3 linked regions of the Macaca fascicularis genome follow. The protein of the gene in region 1 purifies or fractionates together with the protein of each later gene. This does not show direct contact. Links are inferred from orthologs where the notes say so. Each region holds a gene or a part of one and is shown on either strand. Other genes may lie near its edges.

The links.
Region 2: the proteins of SRF (region 1) and MYOCD purify together in Homo sapiens (affinity purification with western blotting; 3 studies listed by BioGRID and IntAct, with this or other methods). This does not show direct contact. The link is inferred for Macaca fascicularis from reciprocal best matches to the Homo sapiens genes SRF and MYOCD.
Region 3: the proteins of SRF (region 1) and MRTFA purify together in Homo sapiens (affinity purification with western blotting; 4 studies listed by BioGRID and IntAct, with this or other methods). This does not show direct contact. The link is inferred for Macaca fascicularis from reciprocal best matches to the Homo sapiens genes SRF and MRTFA.

Annotation. Positions count from the first base shown.
Region 1 is NC_088378.1:128,360,567-128,364,310, forward strand, and holds the start of SRF (serum response factor), read right to left. Parts: upstream 2,266-3,744; 5' UTR 1,880-2,265; coding exon 1,367-1,879; intron 1,139-1,366; exon of another isoform or gene 1,071-1,138; coding exon of another isoform or gene 957-1,070; intron 1-956. UniProt on the Homo sapiens protein: SRF is a transcription factor that binds to the serum response element (SRE), a short sequence of dyad symmetry located 300 bp to the 5' of the site of transcription initiation of some genes (such as FOS).
Region 2 is NC_088390.1:12,813,094-12,816,737, reverse strand, and holds part of MYOCD (myocardin), read right to left. Parts: intron 3,182-3,644; coding exon 2,925-3,181; intron 1,807-2,924; coding exon 1,653-1,806; intron 1-1,652. UniProt on the Homo sapiens protein: Smooth muscle cells (SM) and cardiac muscle cells-specific transcriptional factor which uses the canonical single or multiple CArG boxes DNA sequence. Acts as a cofactor of serum response factor (SRF) with the potential to modulate SRF-target genes.
Region 3 is NC_088384.1:11,216,543-11,220,186, reverse strand, and holds part of MRTFA (myocardin-related transcription factor A), read right to left. Parts: intron 3,514-3,644; coding exon 2,491-3,513; intron 1,578-2,490; coding exon 1,425-1,577; intron 1,133-1,424; coding exon 1,072-1,132; intron 1-1,071. UniProt on the Homo sapiens protein: Transcription coactivator that associates with the serum response factor (SRF) transcription factor to control expression of genes regulating the cytoskeleton during development, morphogenesis and cell migration.

The sequences.
Region 1 (3,744 bases):
TGGAAAGTCCCGGAGCCTCAACCATTCTCACTGTCACAGGGACCAGGATGGATCCCTACCTATCACACTGGAATTTGCACATTAGTGATAAGGGACCACTTAAGCTCCAACTGTCCCATGTTTCTTTCCAGAAACTGCACAGGCTCCAACTTGTTGCCATAGCCTAGTTTCTCCTGTTGTCCTGTAATACTTTACTGCCTTTTTTACTTTGTCTTGGGAAGAAGGTTATGGAAGGGGAGAAGAGAATTTTCCTTCATTAACTACCTCCCCCCACAACCTTCTCCACTGATGATCAAGTGACAAGGGACATTGATACAACAGTGTCTAGAGTGAGGGGAGACGAGACCTAGATTAGCACTAAACATCCTGCCATGAGCCCAGGAAGGGGACCTTCAAGGATGGCCCCACAGATGCCATACTCTCCCAACAAAGTTCTACGAACCACCTTGGAAGCAGCTCTGGTTTCTACATGGGACAGAAATAAACACCAGCCAATGTTCCCAAGGATCCAGCTACTTGTCTCCCAATTCTTCTGCTTTCATCCCTTCCCTTATCATCTACACCCCAAAATGACTCTTTTCCTCACCACTTTTCACTGGCTGGCAGAAGAGGAATTCCTAGGTACCTCTGCAAGCCTCCCCGATTTCCCCCAAACCCCATCCATGCATAGATTCTCCCTAGGGCTGGAAACCCCACTTGTCCTAACGGCAGGAGATTCTGCAGCGGGTCCTGCCAGGAGCAGCATGTGGTTCCCAGCGGATGCCATGGAACACTCACGGCCGGCGCGGGACTAGGTTCCTGCTGCTCAGGGCAGCACCAGTTCTCCTGCCCCGCTCCCTTACCTGGTCCCTAACCCTGCCTGTCCTTCCAACCAGCACTACTCTCGTGGTGCCCATTTCCTCCCACACATGCTCGCTCATTGTTGTCATGCAGCTCCAGCCTCCTCACCTCCATACCTTCTCGTTTGCTCCCTGCTTTTCCAGCGCCCTCCTCCAAACACCGGAGTGCACTGGACCTACTGATCCCGGCTTCTCATTATTCACCTCCCCGGCAGCCTCGCAGCCTCCCATGACCGCTCCTCAAACCTCCACTCAACAAGGGCCCTCCTTCCTCTCTCGCGCCGGTCACTCCCACCTCTGCGCCTTTCCCCAAGGTTCCCGGCGTTCGCGGGATCTCCCCTCTCCCCACATTTCCCCGGCGGCCCCTCCCCTTCGGCCCTCCCCGGGTAGGAGCCATCCCCTCCCACACACCTCCTGCGGACTCGCCGCCTCTCACCTCCGCCTCGGCTCTGCCGTCCTCCCGGGCTCCCCTTGCGCATCCCCACCCTTCCCGGGCCCCGGGGCCAGCCAGCCCGCCGGCTTGGTACCTTCTTCATGATGCCCGTCTTCCTCTTGCTGAAGGTCGTGTAGCGCCGCAGCTTGTTGTCGATGAACTCCATCTTGATCTTCACGCGGCCCCGGGTCTTCTTACCCGGCTTGGCCCCGCTCACCGCGCCGCTCACCGGCCCGTAGCCCCCGGTGGCCGCCGCCGACGCCTCGGGCCCACCGACCACCATACCGATCTCCATCTCGCTCAGGCTCCGCTTCATGCCGCGCCGCTCGGCGCCCAGCTCCTCCTCCTCGCCCGACTCCGAGTCGCCCTCGCTGCCGCTGTAGAGGGCCCCCGCGGTGGGCGCCGGGGTGGTTGCCGCCGCTGCCGCAGCCTCCCGCTCCAGGCGGCCGGGCCCGAGCCCCGCGCCATTCCCGGGGACCCGGCCCCCGTTAGCCCCACGAGTCCCGCCGCCGCTGCCCGGCCGCCCCGTCGGGGTCCGGTTCAGGCTGCCCCCCAGGGCCGAGCCCCGGCCCAGAGCCGCCGCGGCCCCAGCTTGGCTCGGTAACATGGCGCTCGATGCAGGAGGGCGGACGGGCAGTCAGCGAGGAATCGGAGCCGCAGCCGCCGCCATCGGCTTCCCGGCTCAACCCGGCACTCCCGCTGCTGCTAGTGCCGCTATCGCTGCCGCGGCAGCCGCTGCGAACCCGGGGCCCCTGCACGCCCGGGCCGACCTGGGCCCTCACTTTCCTGCCCCTGTGGCCCGGGTTGCCCCAGGCCGCGCGCAGCGCCCCCTGTCCGTCTGCTAGGGCGGCGCGCCCGGCGGCCTTCAGCGTCCCCCGGGGGGCAGGGGCTGCTGGCCGCGGCCGAGACGGCGGGTGGAGGGGGCCGGGACCACGCGCTGGCGGCGGAGGGATCCCCCGACCCTTCCCCCCATATAAAGAGATACAATGTTTCCTTTTATGGCGAGGCCGCTCCTTATATGGTGAGCCCCAGCGCCCCCGCCCCATTGGTCCATGGTTCCGGCACCTCCGCTCCCCATTGGCCCGCAGGGGAGCGCTTATTTGCATAGACATACCAAACTCGTTCCTGTCCTCTCGCGTCAGACCGCGACTCCGAGAGGGGTGGAGCCGACGCCTCTTAAAGGAACCGGAGAGCAGGCGCGACTCCGCCTCCCTGAACCCGAGAATGATAGAACGGTTTGGGAAGCACCCGCGGAGAAGTAGCCTGGGACTGGAGCGCAGTCTTGCGGAAGAGAGGGAGCAGCACTAGGAAATGGGCTCCAGCACCGGGACCGCTGGAGACAAACACTGGGGAAACCCCTAGGTGGATTGTGGGGTTTGCAGTCAATTAAAAAAATACAGCCCAAATTCCAAGGGAGGAGTGCAGGGATTGATTGGAGCATTTCCTCACGCCTTCCTAAGGGAGGCACAGTTATTGGCTGAGCGGAGGGAGCTTGGATCCCCGGTGTCCAGACTCGTAGCACCCCAGCCGCTCAGCTCTAACTTTTCCCCTCCCCCCAACTTCCCCTCCCTTTCCCTTGCTTTTGTAGGCGACGACACTTTCCCACCAGGCTGGCTCGCGGGTCCTCATTCATCATCCTCTGCACTGGGGGGTCTTTGGCAGACATACATCTGGAAAAGGCGGGTGGAGGGGAGGGCGAGAGACAGAGATCGGTCTCCCAGTCCCGAGGCGGGCAGGGAGGAGAGACGGAGATCATTGAAGACTTCCAGCTGCAGGCTGGGCTGGGGGAGGGGGGCGTCCCGAGGATAAAGCCCACCCTACAGCCAGTGCAAAGACGGGAAATTGTGGCCCGACAGAAAGTTTATGCAAGCAAGCACGCTCACGCACACACACGCACCTACACACCCTTCTCTGGAAAGCCCGTTGGAGAAAGAAAAAAAAAGTTTCAGACAGGGTATCGCTCAGTCGCCCAACCTGGAGTGCAGTGGTGTGATCTGAGCTCATTGCAACCTCCGCCTCCCGGGTTCAAGCGATTCTCCCACCTCTGCCTCTCACGTAGCTGGGACTACAGGTGCGCGCCACCACTCGGGCCTAATTTTTGTATTTTTTGTAGAGATGGGGTTTTGCCATGTTGCCCAGACTGGTCTCGAACTCCTGGCATCAAGCTATCCTTCACCCTCGGCTTCCCAAAGTGCCGGGATTATAGGCATGAACCACTGTGCCTGGCAGAAAAAAAAAAAAAAATTACTTAAAGAATAGAACTGGGGTGCTGCAAAGTGAGGTTCAAGCTCTGGGTCTGGATCTTTTCTCCAAAGCAGTGAAAATAGCATGGACTTTGCTGTTACCGAATTATTTAAATCTGGAATCTGCCTCTTGGTAAGCCCTGTGCCTGGAAACAAGTGACAAGTGATCTGATCACTCCAAACGCAATATTAATCAATGTTGCTATCCATTCCATGAGATTTTTTTTTC
Region 2 (3,644 bases), on another chromosome or scaffold:
GGAGTGCAGTGGCGTGATCTCCGCTCACTGCAAGCTCCACCTCCTGGGTTCACGCCATTCTCCTGCCTCAGCCTCCTGAGTAGCTGGAACTACAGGCGCCTGCCACCTCGCCCGGCTAATTTTTTTTTGTATTTTTAGTAGAGATGGGGTTTCACCTTGTTAGCCAGGATGGTCTTGATCTCCTGACCTCGTGATCTGCCCGCCTCAGCCTCCCAAAGTGCTGGGATTACAGGCGTGAGCCACCGCGCCCGGCTCTATGATTCTGGTTTTATTTTCACTTTTTAAACTGGGGAGACAAAACTTATCTTGTGGGGTGAAAATTAAAGCAAATCTACACAGAATAAATGACGGATGGCTCATATTAAAAAATACAAATTGGTAGGGGCTGGGCAGGGTGGCTCATGCCTGTAATCCCAGGACTTTGTGAGGCCAAGGCTGGTGAATCACCTGAGGTCAGGAGTTCAAGACCAGCCTGGCCAACTTGGTGAAACCCTGTCTCTACTAAAAACACAAAAATTAGCCAGGTGTGGTGGTAGGCACCTGTAGTCCCAGCTACTAGGGAAGCCGAGGCAGAAGAATTGCTTGAACCCGAGAGGCAGAGCTTGCAGTGGGCCGAGACTGTGCCACTGCACTCCAGCTTGGATGACAGAGCAAGACTCCATCTCAAAAAAAGAAAAAAAAGGCCGGGCGCGGTGGCTCAAGCCTGTAATCCCAGCACTTTGGGAGGCCGAGACGGGCGGATCACGAGGTCGGGAGATCGAGACCATCCTGGCTAACATGGTGAAACCCCGTCTCTACTAAAAAATACAAAAAAAAAAAAAACTAGCCGGGCGAGGTGGCGGGCGCCTGTAGTCCCAGCTACTCGGGAGGCTGAGGCAGGAGAATGGCGTAAACCCGGGAGGCGGAGCTTGCAGTGAGCTGAGATCCGGCCACTGCACTCCAGCCTGGGCGGCAGAGCGAGACTCCGTCTCAAAAAAAAAAAAAAAGAAAAAAAAAGAAAAAAAAATTGATAGGCACCATCGTCATCATCATCATCTCTTTATACCTACACTAATTATTATAACTCTCACCAGCCAATGCTTCTGAGCATGTGTATCTAGAGGGATCCACCTGCCTCAGCCTCCCAAAAGTGGGTTTTGAGGGGTCTGACAGATGGCACTATCATATCTGGATCATGTTTCTCTGTGACTAAGGCATCTCCTGTCTTACTTGTCTCCTGTCTCACTCTTATCTAGAAATAGCCTACTTAAAAATTATTTTTTACTATGGTGAAATAAACATAACGTTTGTCTTTTCCCTCTATCTCAAATGCTCTTGCCCTTCCACCTTCTGCCCTTTTACCATGGGGTGGCATTCGCCAGATACTGGTGCCATGTCCTTGGACTTCTCAGCCCTAGAACTGTGAGAAATAAATTTCTTTTCTTCACAAATTTCCCAGTTTCCGGTATCCTGTTACGGCTGCGTAAAATGGGCTATAGTCAACTGGGGTGTTCAACCACAGCAGGATAAATTCTGCCACCTCCTTCAGCGTTTCCTATGGTCTTCTTTCCCTCCCACTCTCTTACTCCAGATACCAGTTGGTCGTGGTGCTGTTAACAACATACTGTTGTATTTGTTTAAAAAAAGAAAGAAACTCATGCAAAATCCTATACCTTCAGATCATCCAGGTTAGGTGGGAGTGGGCCGGGTTTGAAAGAAGAGACACCAGTTTGTCCAGAAAAACTGTTCTTGACAGGAGACAAGGGGGTATTGCTCAGTGGCGTTGAAGAAGAGTTTGGATTTCTGACCATCTGTTCATTTGGTTCTCTAAAAGACAAACAAAGAGGCACTTCAGGTACAATCAAATATTGGTGGTATAACTTGCGTTTAGATCGGATCCCAAAGTGATGGCCTGCAAGGGTCAGGCATGTAATAAACCAGCAGAAGGGAGCAGGGTGAGGAAAAACAACAGGGCCGGCTAGATGGCAAGTGGTGTGTGACATCTGAACTTTGTTTAGGGAGATAAGAGGGAGCGGTGGGGACTGTGGCACACATCCACCTGTGATTCAGCTGCTGCTCTGTCCTGGGGAGGCCAAACCCACCTGGTGAAGCTTGGTTGTGTTTAGCGCTTGGCGTAATCGCTAGCATAGTCTGAGGAGGACAGGAGGAATCCTACCTCAACTTTACATGTAGGGATATTGACGATTTAAAAGGTGATGTAGCGATGTGGTCACACAACCTGGGCTCAAGAGTCAATCTTTGAGGATTTCTCTCCGCTGCTCAGCAATGTTCTTTCCAAAAGCAGAAGTGGATCGGAATTGCTCATAATTCCAATATCACATTCTTAGACATTCCACAGTCCAATTTGAAAATGCTAATCCTTTCCTATTTCCCAAAGGGACCTTTTACCAAGGGCACTGATTTATAGTAGTCCACCCGTTATTGGCGGTTTCACTTTACAAGATTTCAGTTACCTGAGGTCAACTGTGGTTCAAAAATAGATGTGTACAGTACAATAAGTTATTCTGAGAGAGAAACCACCACATCCACATACGTTTTATTGTAGTATCTTGCTATAATTGTTCTATATTGTTGCTAGCTATTATTGTTCATCTCTCACTGTGCCTAATTTATAAATGAAACCTTATCATAGATATGTATGCCTAAGAAAAATACACTATACGTAGAGTTCAGTACTATCTGAGGTTTTAGGTATCCACTGAGGGTTTGGAATACATCTGCAGATACATCCCAGTCTTATGGCTCTGAAAAGGTGTGCATAGTTTCTAAATTGAATCAGCTTCCAAACATACTGGATGAGGAAATGGTGCAATACAGGACTTGCTAGGCCCCATGGTGCTGGCCCCACGTACATCAGATAGATATTAACAGACACCCTTCTCAACCTCTGCCCACAGCCACTCTCCCAGGCTTGCCGGACTTACTTAAGCTGAGCTTGGTGCATCCCTGGGTAGCTGAATCGGTGTTGCTGCTGCTGCTGCTGCTGCTGGCTGAGGATTTGGAGCTGCAGGAACAGCTGCTGTTGCTGTAGCAGCCGAGCGTAGGCCGAGTCCATAGGTGGAGGGGACTTCTCTGCCTTCTGGTCTGGGGGAATGTACTGGTGATATTTAAGCTTCTTCACCTTTGGCTTGGGGTCCTTGGGCTTTTTGTGGCGGTTCTTACTGTCACCCAAGGATTTGGACTGCAAAGAGGATGAGGAAATGGCACGTGCTTTAGGCCATGACTGAGAATGACTTTGCATCATGGACACATTGTGAGGCAGTTTGGTCTGATGGCCATTCTTGAACCTCAGAAATACAATATAGCAAAGGCATGATGTACAAAGAGCTCCTAGAACACTAACATTGCTAATGAACAAATTCATTGCAAATGTATCACACTGGAAGGACACTCCTCAGACAGGGAAAGTTGAATCTTAGAAGCAGCTCCAGAATTTTTCTTTTCTGGAGTACAGCAAAACGTAATCCTGTGTTTCAATGAATGCATTCTCCTAACCTAAAACCAACTGATGGCCTAACAAAGGCTGCCTTCTGATCTTAAGACTATTTGTAGAAAGTTCCTTCGTGGCTGGGCACGATGGCTCACACCGGTAATGCCAACACTTTGGGAGGACGAGGCGGGTGGATCACTTGAGGTCATGAGTT
Region 3 (3,644 bases), on another chromosome or scaffold:
GACCTCTGCTCCCTCACCTCACGCCCTGGGCAGCCTCCCAGCTCCAACTGCCAATCTAGATGCGACAACACCCCAACTCCTACATGCAGCCCAGACCTCTCTTACAAATGCCACTCGATGTCAACTGTCCCTGTAAACCCTCCACTCATGACACACCCCATCAGGGACTGCACAATGTGGTCCCACACGTGCCCCCTCCCCAGCTCACCCCATCAATGGCTGCTCCACCCTGGCCCTTCAGGCTACAGCCCTTGAAGTCATCCTTGGCTGTTGCTTCCCTCTCTCCACACCTCATCCATAAACACACCAACCTGGCTCTTTCCAAATGGGGCCGACTCCAGCTGTTCCTCCGCCTGCCACTGCTGCCTGCTGGGCCACAGCCCTGCTCTCCCACCACCCCCAACCTGGGGCTCCCTGCTTCTGCCCTTGCGCAGCTGCTATCGCTACAGCAGCTGGAAGGTTCCTGGGTCCTGCATCAGACCAGGCCACTCTACCCAAGGCTGTGCGATGGCTTCCCACACAATGGAGCCAAAGCCACCCTGCCCTGATGCCCAGGAGGCCACGCATGATCTGGCCACAAAGCCCTTCTTTCCCTTTCCTCAACTACACTCCAACTCGCCAGTCACTCCCAAGGCCGCACAGATGCACACAGCTGCTCCTGCTCACAGGAGCCATCCCGGCCCTTCCCCACCAGGCTCCCCAGACCTCTCCCTCCCCTCCGTTTTTGTCCTAAGGCTCCTCTCGGATCTTCCATATGATCTGCTTATTTCTTCTACTTGTTGTCCACCTCCCCAGGCTGCACTGTGAGCTCCACAAGGGCAAATGTCTCTTCTGCTCATTGGCAGGCGAGGGCCTTGGGGCAGTGCTCCCTGCTGAATGAAGGACGACACCTTCCCTGGTCCTCTCATCCAGGCCCTGGAGACAGGAGGGCTCACAGCCACCACTGCATCCACAGTGCTTGCCCAAGACCAGTCACGCATGGAAGCATTCAATAAAAACAAACCAACCCAGGGCTAGAGACACCTATGAACAGAGAAGGCTGTCAGGAGGCAGCAGGGGATCTGGGGTTACCTCCGCTCTGAATGAGAATGTCAAACAGGTCGTCCATCTGCTGGCTTGAGGAACCATTTTCCTGCGGGACAAAGAAAAAAAAAAAAAAAGATGAAACTCTTGAATGGGGGCTCCCAGCCTGAACTATGAATGAGGCCCCTCCCTCTACCAGAATAAGCAGCCAGATCCACAGCACCCACGGGCATGTCCGGACTCCTGGTGCCCATCCCCCAACGGCCCACTCCCCAAGGCCTCTCTGACCCTGAAGCTGGGCTTCACCTGCCCCCTTTTCCTGCAGCTGGGGCTGTAGGAACCTCAGCCCAGCAGCCTAGGGCAGCCGCCCACAATGGCCAGGCCCAGCCCGCCTTCCTCACCTGCTGTTTGGGCTGCTGGCTCATGGCTTCCTCATAGCCAGGTGGTTCCTTCTTCAGCAGAGAAGTGGGGGTCCCAAAGACGGGCTGCAGTGGGTGCTCTAGGTCCATCTGGGCAGAGGCGGCAGGCACTGGAGAGCCAGGCTGGGATGAGGGCTGGACAGGAGAACAGGGAGAGGACCAGTGGCCAGGGGGCTGGGGGTACAGACCTGCCTTGTAGGGGTGAGGGGTGGGGATAAGGCCAGGGCCTCTCACACTCCAGGAGGGCAGATGGGGGGCACTGGCTTTTAGGGAGCTTTCGTGAAAGCCACTAGGTAAGAAGGAATACAGGATGGGGGACCCTCAACCCTGCAGGGGGTGCCTGGCCTCTTGAGGTTTGGGAGAGGTCTCTGCGCTGGGCTGGTCACTCCCTGAGATTTCTGCAGCTTCTTTCTCTGCTTGGGTCTGCTCAGGGACCCCCATCTCCTATCCTGAGGTACCTGTTCCTGTCACTGTCTCCTCCACCCCCAAGTTCTGCAGGACCACAAGGCTACATAAAGCCTTAGGGCAGCCTCACCTGTGGCCCAGGCTGAGAGAAGGTCTGCTGGGGAGCTTTCTGCTGCTGACACCTCGGTGGGGAGAGCTGGCCTCTCTGAGGGGAGGACCCTGAGCTGGATCCTGGCCAGAGGACCCCACAGCCTCTCCCCAGGGCAGGCTACCTCTGACCTTCACTGGCCACTCCCCATAGAGCAGCACTAAGGCAGGCCCAGCCTGGTGTGGGCTGCTCAGGAGTCCTCTGCTGAGATGCAAAAATGTTCTAGTCTCAACAGCCAGAGAGGTGGAGAGCTCGCCAATGGTTCCGCCCTACGGCTAAGGGGTCTCAGGCAGGTGCCTTAACTTTCCTAAGTCTCAGTGCTCCCCGTGGTGAGATGGGGATAACGACCGCTCATTTCAGAGGGTCGAAAGGAAGATTAAACGAAGCAAACACAAAATGCCCAGCACGAGGGGACCCCTGGCCCACGAGGGCTGCAGCGAGACGCTCTTCCCACCCTCCTCTGGGCCCTGCCCGGTTCCTCCCATACCCAGGTACCTGCTGGGGGCTTCCACTGGACAGGCCAGGGCTGTCTGCATTCTTATTGGTCACGGTGAGGACAAGGTGGGTCCCTGTGGAGTCAGTGATGAGGGTGGGAGGTGCAACCCCCTTGATGAGGCCAGGGCCCTGAGGACCCAGAAGCAGCTGGGGGGCGGGGACCGGCTCGGGCTCAGGCTGCACAGCTTCCTGCTTCACCACCACGGACGGGGGCCCCGGGGCCGCAGCACAAGGGTCTACATGGTTGGTGGTTGGGGCCGCCAGGCTGGGGCTGAATGGGTGAGCAGGGCCCAAGGGCTGTCGGCTCAGTTGGCAGCTGGAGAAGCTGTTCTCCTGCTTCACTGGCATGCCGAGAGGGGCAGGGGTGGGGACAGGAGTTGGGGCGGGCTGCTGGGCTCGCTTCTCCTGCTCCAGCTGCAGCCTGAGCCGCTCCACCAGCTGCTGCTTCTGCCGGAGCATGCGCGTCAGCTCCTCGATCTGCTTGTCTTTCTCCTGCAGCATCTGGTCCTTGTCGCGCCCCTCTAGCTCTGCCCGCCCCCCAGGGCTCAGGCAACAGGACCCGGCCCGGGGGCCCTCCTCCTTCACGAGGATCTGCAGTGGCGAGGCCTGCAGAGTCAGCTGCGTCAGGGGAGACGTCACCATCTCACCAAAGGTGTCCCCGGGGGTGGAGTTTTCATCGCCGGTGCTGAGCAGTGAGCGCTCTGAGGGGGTAGGAGACACAGGCGGTGTGGAGCCTGTGCTGCCAAATTTCACCACTCCATTGCTGGTCACCGTGGCCACCACCACCTCAGTTGGGGCCAGGCCTGCTGCCACCAGAGCTGGCCCTGTGCTCAGCCGGGCCGCCGGGAAGGCTACCACCACCTCGCCAGCCTTGTGCAGGATAGAGGTGGTGGCAGGGGCCTTGGGGGCTCCTGGGACAGGGCCGATTTGGTCTTGGTAGGCTCGAAGGCGCTCAATCAGCTCAGTTTTGGTGCCTGAGACGGGCAGTGATCGCAACTTCAGCTCCTGCTTCAGCTCTGCCACCTGCAAGGCAGTCAACAGTCAGGGAGGCCAGGGGCAGCTGGACACAGGGCACTGGGTCCAGGCAGAAGGGCACTTCAGATGCATCAACTACCCTAATCCTCCAGCACCCTGGAGGGCGCAATGCCCCCCAC